2 linked regions of the Schizosaccharomyces pombe genome follow. The gene in region 1 interacts genetically with each later gene. Each region holds a gene or a part of one and is shown on either strand. Other genes may lie near its edges.

Evidence for each region. Genes that interact genetically often act in the same process or in processes that back each other up.
Region 2: mutations in SPOM_SPBP4H10.16C (region 1) and pvg2 together harm fitness less than expected from each alone (positive genetic interaction), as found in Schizosaccharomyces pombe (one large-scale study listed by BioGRID).

Annotation. Positions count from the first base shown.
Region 1 is NC_003423.3:2,905,312-2,909,259, reverse strand, and holds SPOM_SPBP4H10.16C (phosphatase activator), read left to right. Parts: upstream 1-2,020; 5' UTR 2,021-2,135; coding exon 2,136-3,023; 3' UTR 3,024-3,298; downstream 3,299-3,948. Other genes in the region: SPOM_SPBP4H10.18C (uncharacterized protein), read left to right, coding at 1-373; SPOM_SPBP4H10.17C (carboxyl methyl esterase), read left to right, coding at 862-1,887; aco2 (aconitase/ribosomal domain-containing protein), read right to left, coding at 3,379-3,403, 3,444-3,948.
Region 2 is NC_003424.3:4,018,091-4,022,554, reverse strand, and holds pvg2 (Golgi 4,6-pyruvylated galactose (PvGal) residue biosynthesis protein Pvg2), read right to left. Parts: upstream 2,681-4,464; 5' UTR 2,474-2,680; coding exon 1,304-2,473; 3' UTR 501-1,303; downstream 1-500. Other genes in the region: Tf2-6 (retrotransposable element/transposon Tf2-type), read right to left, coding at 1-63; msm1 (methionine--tRNA (Met) ligase), read left to right, coding at 4,358-4,464. UniProt on the Schizosaccharomyces pombe protein: Involved in cell wall biogenesis. Has a role in the addition of Gal-beta1,3 moeities to galactomannans and their subsequent pyruvylation. Has a role in meiosis.

The DNA.
Region 1 (3,948 bases):
TAGGAACTTAGATCGTGCTTTATCTAAGTTTACCCAATCCAGAGAGAAAAATGAGCAGAATCTTTCAAGTAAAGCGTCAGTTTTAAGAAACAAAAAGTCAATCTTGTTAAAGAAAAGAAATCAAGATGAAACTCAACTGACTACTGAGGAGGATTTTTCTGCCAATAATGATTCTACCGCAAAAATAGAGACCAGTATCCACGACCACAGAGATATTTCTAGAATAACACCTTTTGAACTTCCTTTTGTTAATCCAAAGCTGTTTGCTAGCTTTACTCCAATGTCGGTAGCTCTACCAGCTGGACGATTACTACTAATTAAACAGTTGCAAGAGAAATCTACCCAATCATCTTCTATGACAGGTCTCAAATAAAACCAGCTTATTGCCAAAAGTAGATAATACATTCATCTACTCATATTTTTGTCTCATACTAGCATAAAAAGTATAAATTAATTATGATTTTCAATCTTACTTTTACCATTGTATTTTAGTCACATTTGTCTGTAAGGAAAAATAGCGTTGGTGTAAAGCGAGGTAACATATTTAAATGTTACGTCGTTAATTTTTTTACGTAGGCGATGGAAGGCGTGTAAATCATTTGAGCATTGAGGAATCCGCAGTAAGTACAGGAAACTTCCACTGCATATTATTTACTCAACTTAGCTACCTGGGGAATACACATTGTTTGTTTTAAAATTTATCGATTTCAGAATTACATTGAATTAATTTTTTTTTTTTTCAATCAGGTCCGTTTCTGCTTCTGGGATTGTATATTCTATCTTCATAAAACCAACGAGGAATTCGTGTGAACTATTTATAGTGCTGCGTGTAAGCTAAAAAAGATATTATAATACTTTATAATGGCATTTCGTAAAGAAGAACTCAGTCAAACACTCTATGAGAATGAATCTGAGCAATCATCCGAAACCAAGGAACTAATGTTAAATAATGAAGAGAGTTTAAGCGATTGGCGAAATTACTTTGATGAAAAGTTAACAATTCCTGGTGAAAGTGGGGCTTTGAATGGGACTATCAATGGGTACTTAACACTTCCACAACCAGATGGTTGCTTACTTGTTTTGCAACACGGTGCTGGCTCAAGTGCCATGTCATTTGCACCGGTTACACAAGAGCTCTTGAGTAATTCAGATAATAAGGTTGGTTTTTTAGCGTTGGACCTTCGAGCTCATGGAGAAACAACGTTAGAACCCGAATCAGATATGAGCTTGGAAACATTATCTAAGGACTTTACTCACGCAGTCTCCTATGTTCAACGTATGTTTGAGCTTGATGAAAAAATCATTTTGGTCGGACATAGCTTAGGAGGTGCCATTTGTGCTTACTGTGCTTTTCAAAAAACTATTCCCAATACTTCTGGACTTGTTGTCATTGATGTGGTTGAAGGGACTGCGATGGAAGCATTGGGTTTTATGAAAACGTACCTCTCTAATCGTCCTACTAGCTTTAAATCAATTGATGATGCAATTTCTTGGCATATCAAGACTTTAGTTACTAGAAACAGATTATCGGCCTGTATTACAGTTCCTTCACTTCTCGTTCAGCAGGAAGATGGCACATTCGTTTGGCGAACCGATCTTTACAAAACATCGCCGTATTGGATGGACTGGTTTAAGGGTTTAAGTGACAAATTCCTAAGAGCACCATATGGAAGGATGCTTATTGTCGCTGGTACCGATCGTCTAGATAAAACGTTAACAATTGGACAAATGCAAGGAAAATATCAACTTGAGATTCTTCCTGAAACTGGTCATTTTGTTCATGAAGATGTTCCCGCTAAGATTTCCTCTCTACTTTTAAATTTTTGGCATCGCAATCAACCTTTGGTTTTACCTCCCAAAGTTGGTGCTACTCCTGTTCTACAGTAATCTTAATGATTTAACGAACTTTATTATACACTAAGAAAAATGCGTTATATAGTGGAGTATGTATGGTCATATAACGTTGTGCTGTGCAGGTTGCGTAGGCATCGATATCAAAGGCACCGCTTTCATAGTACCTATAAGTACGTTGCATTCGCATATATGATTGTATCTTTATTTATCATTACCCTTGATTAAAAAATAATTTATTTTATTGAAACTTCTCTTTTAAACACTCGAATTTTTGTGCCTTCATGTCTGTGATAACTCAGGCTCAGGAAATACCTACTGTAGCAGCCAATCCCGATTTCAATTATGAAGGAGATCCTATTATTATTCAATTATGCGATCGTGACACAGTATTTGAATTGAGTAGAGATCAGCTTTTAGGCCTCCCGGAATCCATCTTGATGTGTTTATTTCCTAGAGGCCTGTTGTTGGATTATGAGATTCAAGAATGCCAACTGACTCAAAGGCCATTAATATTTCAAACAGCTGACTTTGATCCTTCATTACTTCAGTACATATTAAATTATTTTCAAATGGCCGAAAATCGTACCGCTAATGATGAAATTGCATTATCACCACCTCCACCTTCTTTTCCTGGAAAATGTGGTATAATTCTGTTAAAAGAAGACATTGAGTTTTTTATCCTCCCACCCATTTCACCAACCACCAATATTGCCATTGAAGTTAGTCCGAACGATTTGCTTAAACTAAAACAACGTGTAGCCCAACGATTGCTGCAACAAAAGAAGATCTTTGATTGTTTACATCTCGAAAACTCCACCTCAGAAGGTTCCGCTGAAAAGAACCTTGTACGCATGCTTTGCTACAGCGGATTTCACGAAGATGACGAATGGAAACGGCGAATACAAGAACCACATCGCGCTTGTATTACTTCAGTCACTTTGACCAACCTAGATTTTAGTGCAGATCAGGGCCCTGTCTCTGATCCTGAATATTTTCCTGTTTATCACAAGTTGCTCCTCTTTTGGCAGAAACCAGCTCGGAAGTGTTGGTGGGATTCTTCTACCAGTATCACCTACAATGGGATCGAGTTTGCAACTTGGGTAAGAAGAGTTTGGACGTTGGAACTTGCTGTATTAGGCGCTAATACGTACGAGACTGCAGCGGTTTAAGTACAGGGTATGTTTCAAAGTTTAAAAGCATTTTTTCTCTTTTGTGTTTTTGTTGTTTTTGTTGTTTTTGTTATTCCTCTTTATTTTTAAATGAGCAAGAATTATTTTTGCGCAGCAATTACCTACTTAATCCTTGATTTGTAATTGCTTAAATTAGATTTGTACTCCTCCTACGAGTTTTATTATTTCTTGATCCTCTCTGAAATTTTTTTTATTATTTTATTGAACAACGTTCAGTATTACTTGTCACTATTTCCCTTAATACACAAAATTATTATATTAATTTACAAAATGTTTTAGTTGTCAGCAGCATACATGGGTGAAGTAGAAGACTAGATAAAAAGAAGAAAGGGAATTAGTTCAGTTTGAGTTCCGTAACCCTGGATGATTAGTAACATGATAGAATTGCTGCACACTTACCTTAAAATAGTATACGTTTGTTTATGTTTCATTACACGATCATGACGATGACGACGCTTGTGTTTTACTCGAACACTTAATGCGCTTTTAGGGAATGATAATACAACCGCTTCAATCGTAAACAATGAAGGGTCTACATACGGGTTACCAAAGAGAGTAAAATCTCTTGAGCCGAAGGAAGCGATTTTATCAAGTCGTATCGTATCACCAACCTGGACACCTTTCAAGTGAAAAGGCAATCCTAGTTGATCTCCTTTGGCTATAACAAAATGACGATTAAATATATACGCATCAGCATAGTGGTCAGGTTGTTGTTTTATTGAATCTATAACCTTTTGATTTACCACGCCAGAATGGGCCTTTTCGCGAATCAAATTAAGAGCTGAACCGGCCTTGAAAAATTCTATCTGGTCTTTACTCATTGTGTGTTTGCAAGGAATCTCTACAACTGAACCGTCTTTCTTAGTGACGACAAGGGTAATAGGCTGGTCCAAAACACCTTCTA
Region 2 (4,464 bases), on another chromosome or scaffold:
CAAATTCTCTGGTCTCCATCGTTTTGCTCTTGCTTTCATATAACGATAATTTGCGTAGGACATTGTATATGTTTCCCTTTGGGAGATTTCAAAAGGGATAACAGTCCTTCCAAAGTTCCTTCTCCTTTGAACCCAGAAGGAGAGAAATATATATATTTATGATATATATTTATTCAATAATTCCTTTTTCCTAAAAGGAGTTAATTGTAGATCACAAGAGTTCAGTTATTGTAAGCTACGCAGTTTGGTATCTGATTTAAGGATACGTAGAACTGCGGTGAGTTTTCCTTGTGATCTATTATATTACGATACACAGGTTGTATAAGTAGCAACTGAGTATAGGTATTGTATTAACTGGGTTATAATGTTACCTATCACTAATATAGCTCATAACTGAACTGAGGAACGAGGTTCAGCAGTAGCTCTATTTATAGTATTCAGATAATATTGATCTTAATAGATTATCATTAAGATCAATCTCCATATCGTATCATACATGGTACGATATATAATTAGAACATGTGACATATAGTGATACTCAACGTAGTGTATTATAGCGTAGTGTAGTATTGCTGACATAAAATAAAATTGAAGAGACAAATTCATTTACCATTATTATGATCAGGAAATTGTTCCTTACCAATAATATTTGCTGTTTTGATTGAGCTTCTTTCTGGATTTCTGGAAGACTTAAAAAACAAGGAATCCTTTAGCATACTTAGTTCACTATTACAAATACAATTAGAATAAGAACCGAGCTCAATAGTTGGTTTATTATTGGCAAGGGGTTCAATTCAAAAATAGTATTTTCTAAAGCTTAATAATCGATTAGGAAAAAGCTGTTGCCTAAATAACATTAATTTGTAATAAAATGAAATCTAGAGAGGAGAGAACAAGATTGATTACCTGTTAGTAGCTATAAAAGTATCACAAACTTTACAGTTGAACAATAAATGAAGGATCGAATTTAAAAAACTAAGAAACAAGCTTTTCCTAGATCTGATAAAATAAAAAACTAAAAAAAAGAAAGAAAGACAATAGAACCATAGAACATTAAATGTAAAGACATAGTTGGCACATTAGAAAAACAAGCTGCAGGACAGTTCCACGACAGAAAATATTTGATTATAAAACGGATGCTTAGCAATAGTATTAAATAAAAACTATGATTAGGAAGAAACGCACATAACTGTAGGTGATACCTTAGAGAGAAAAAAAAAGTTAAAGGATCAAGTCAGGTTTATTGTTTGCTGAATGAAATTAAATTTGTGAAAAGATAAAAAGATGAAACATCATAATATCATCAAGCAGTTATCAAGTCGAATGAATTAGACCAGTATATGGCAAGTTCGTTCCCATCCGGTTTTGAACTGTGGCTAATGCAATAGTCAGGGTCAAACAGGGGAGAGTCGGCGAAACACATTTCAGAAGATTCTTCACTAGGAAGGAAGTCCCAAGTTGAAGCAAAGGCTTCTGTTGGGATAAAAATGATGTGAGGGTTATTCTTCACAAAAACTTTCCCGTCATCGATATAAGTGTTGACAAAGAATTCTTGCTCACGAATTGTAATAGACTCTCGGTTTTCTGCAAACAACGCTTCAGCTGCATCAAGACCATGATAGGGCCTTTTAGAAAGGATTTTTAATAAAACTTCCGACTTGCAAAGTTCGTTAATGAGAGAGAGAACAAACGGATGCTTAGGAGTAGCAATCATAAAGTCATACTGTAGGGACTTTGGGGCCATAAAAATCGGTTGGAACTCCTCAACAGTCGAAGATGTGATATTTTCTGTAAATTGTTTTACGGATAACTCCGCCGCATAAACAAATTTATCAATATTTTTTTTAAGCTGTAAAGAACGAGACATCCAAACACCGCCATACTCATACAATCCCAATAAAAATCCCCACTGATCTTTAGCTTCACGCGATAACTGAGACCAGGCATTATGAAGATTATGATATGATTTGTCAACTAATTCGTTTAAATCATCATGTGACCAACTAACAAAAGCCCAATTTGGGTGGCTTACGCGAAGTTCGACTTCAAATGCCGTGAATTGAGACAATTCAATGAAATTAGATCCCTTAATGGTATGAAATACCCTTGGAATTCTTCGATTCCATTGTCTCGCAACTCTATTCATACCCGTATCACGGTTATATGTGTAAAATAAGTGAGCAGAAATCGGTGGATCCAAACCGAACGTTGTACATTTGCGCGATTGCTCCAAATCATCCATGCACATTGCTTTTCTGTATATATCGATAGTAACGGTCTTAGATAGTTCCAATTCTTTTTCGCCCAATTCTTCAACGGTAAATAAGTTGGTTCTTTTATAGAAATTGATGCCTCCAAGTTGAATGGGACTGTATATTGCAAATAGAGCAGCGAAAGCAAATACCACTATTATTGATGGGATTAAAAGCCTTAATAATTTCTGGCTGAAAAAATTTACCCAGAGTTTAGTCATTTTTCCTCCTTTTTTCTGCTTATTTCACGTCGAATTCAATTTAATTTATACAGTATATTATAAGTGCAAATGAGCTTTAATGCATTTAAGGCGCAATTATTTCCACAGATTTTAAATAATTTAATAAGCGCCTGAGTTAGGAATTACAGATGAGTAGATAAAGGATTGTGAAACCAAACCGCACACTTCTTTGTCAGTATGGTTCGTACTAGAGTAGTGTGTTCAAAATGTCACAAAAACCGCGTCTTTGTGATTACAACTACGCTGCGTTTCATTATACTATTTTGCAAACTTATATTTGCAAATCACTATGTCATGGTTTTCCTAGGAAATGAGCAGGGCTTGCAATCAATGATTACAAATTGAAACTTTTACCGACCCATTTATTTTCTTATGAACGACCATCTTTTTAATCGAGGTTTAGATTCTCTTTTATAGTGTAGACATCCCAAAATATACCAAGTATGAACTTTGAAACTTCAGATTTTATAACGCATTCTCTTTGCACTACTGTAGATTATCTGATGCGTAGATATAAGATACTCAGTACATAGTAAGTATGTAAACAAAGCATCAAGAAAATACGAATTGGTTTTAAATGCTTTTATTTGTTGATTTATCCCTACTCAAAGCATCTATGGATTATCTGTTTTCTATAGTTCCTACAAATTCTATAATATTGTGCATTACATACAGTATTTTTTTTTTTATTTTTTAGATTCCAGCTATGTCCTACCCTATGACCGTGTGTGTAATTCTGAGGTTATCGTAGTCATTTAAGAACTCAGTTTATGTGTGTATGACTCAAATTCAGTTACTCTAAAAATGCAACTATGTAATGATTCCAACTAAATTTCTTATAACTTGTCAATTGCCTGCTATTGTAAGGATCGATTTATTCACTCAGTGATTCAGCTCAAAATCATTTTCAATAGGTATTTGAAAAAATTGAAGCAATAGTTAAACTTTATTAAATATTTAAAAAATATGTAAATAAAATAAAATTAGCCAGCATATGCTAGAATATCTTGTTTAAAAAAAATTTAATTAAAAAATTATTACAACAAATTTAAAAAAAAAAAAATATTGGAAAAAATTGAAACAGTAAATGGCACAAATTACTTTATTGCTAAACAAAGAAATATCCCGTGCAGCATCATTTTAAGGAATACATCATTATCTCTTTAAAAAAGCACTATTTCGAATCTTAAACACTTATCCTTCTTTATACCGTATATCGTAAAACAATTTCAAAGAAATTCAGCATTGATTCTTTATTCTATTTAATCATTGACATGAGTTTGATTTCGCATTGCTGGAAGATAAATACTTGAAGGTAATACAAAATTCGACTCGATCAATTCCTGAATGCAATCTTATTTTCTCACCTAATTTTTGTATACACTAGTTTCAATCTTTTTACTGTTTTTAGGCCTTTGTGAAGTGCTGCTAGAGCTCTTTTTGAAGAAACTATTATACAGTCAAAAAATACTAGCATTTGAATTAATTTGGGTCTATGCGTATACTAAATATCAGCTCCTAGTGTATCACTTGTCTTATTCTACCATTCTATTTTTAACCAATAAACGACTTAAACTACTGATTAGGAATTTTTACTAAGATATTAAATTAATCATATTAATCATGAAGAAAGCAATTATCCAAAACCAAGCTTAGTTTTCGATATACATACACCACTAACGTACGTCAAGGCACCGTCTGTGTCACTGTATTCTCCACTTGCTGGTTTCCCTGCTGTATTCTCAATGAATTAAAGAATTATATTCGTTTTCGATTACTAACGTTTACTGACAGCAGTCCTAAAATATACAAATTATTACTAACGTTGATCGCTAAACATACATACACGTCTTCTGAAGCAAGATGCTGCGCAAAGGGATTTGTAGGCTAATTCATCAAGTTTCAGAATCTTCTAAAAAACCTTATTTCCTTACAACACCTATTTTCTATGTCAATGCTGCACCTCATCT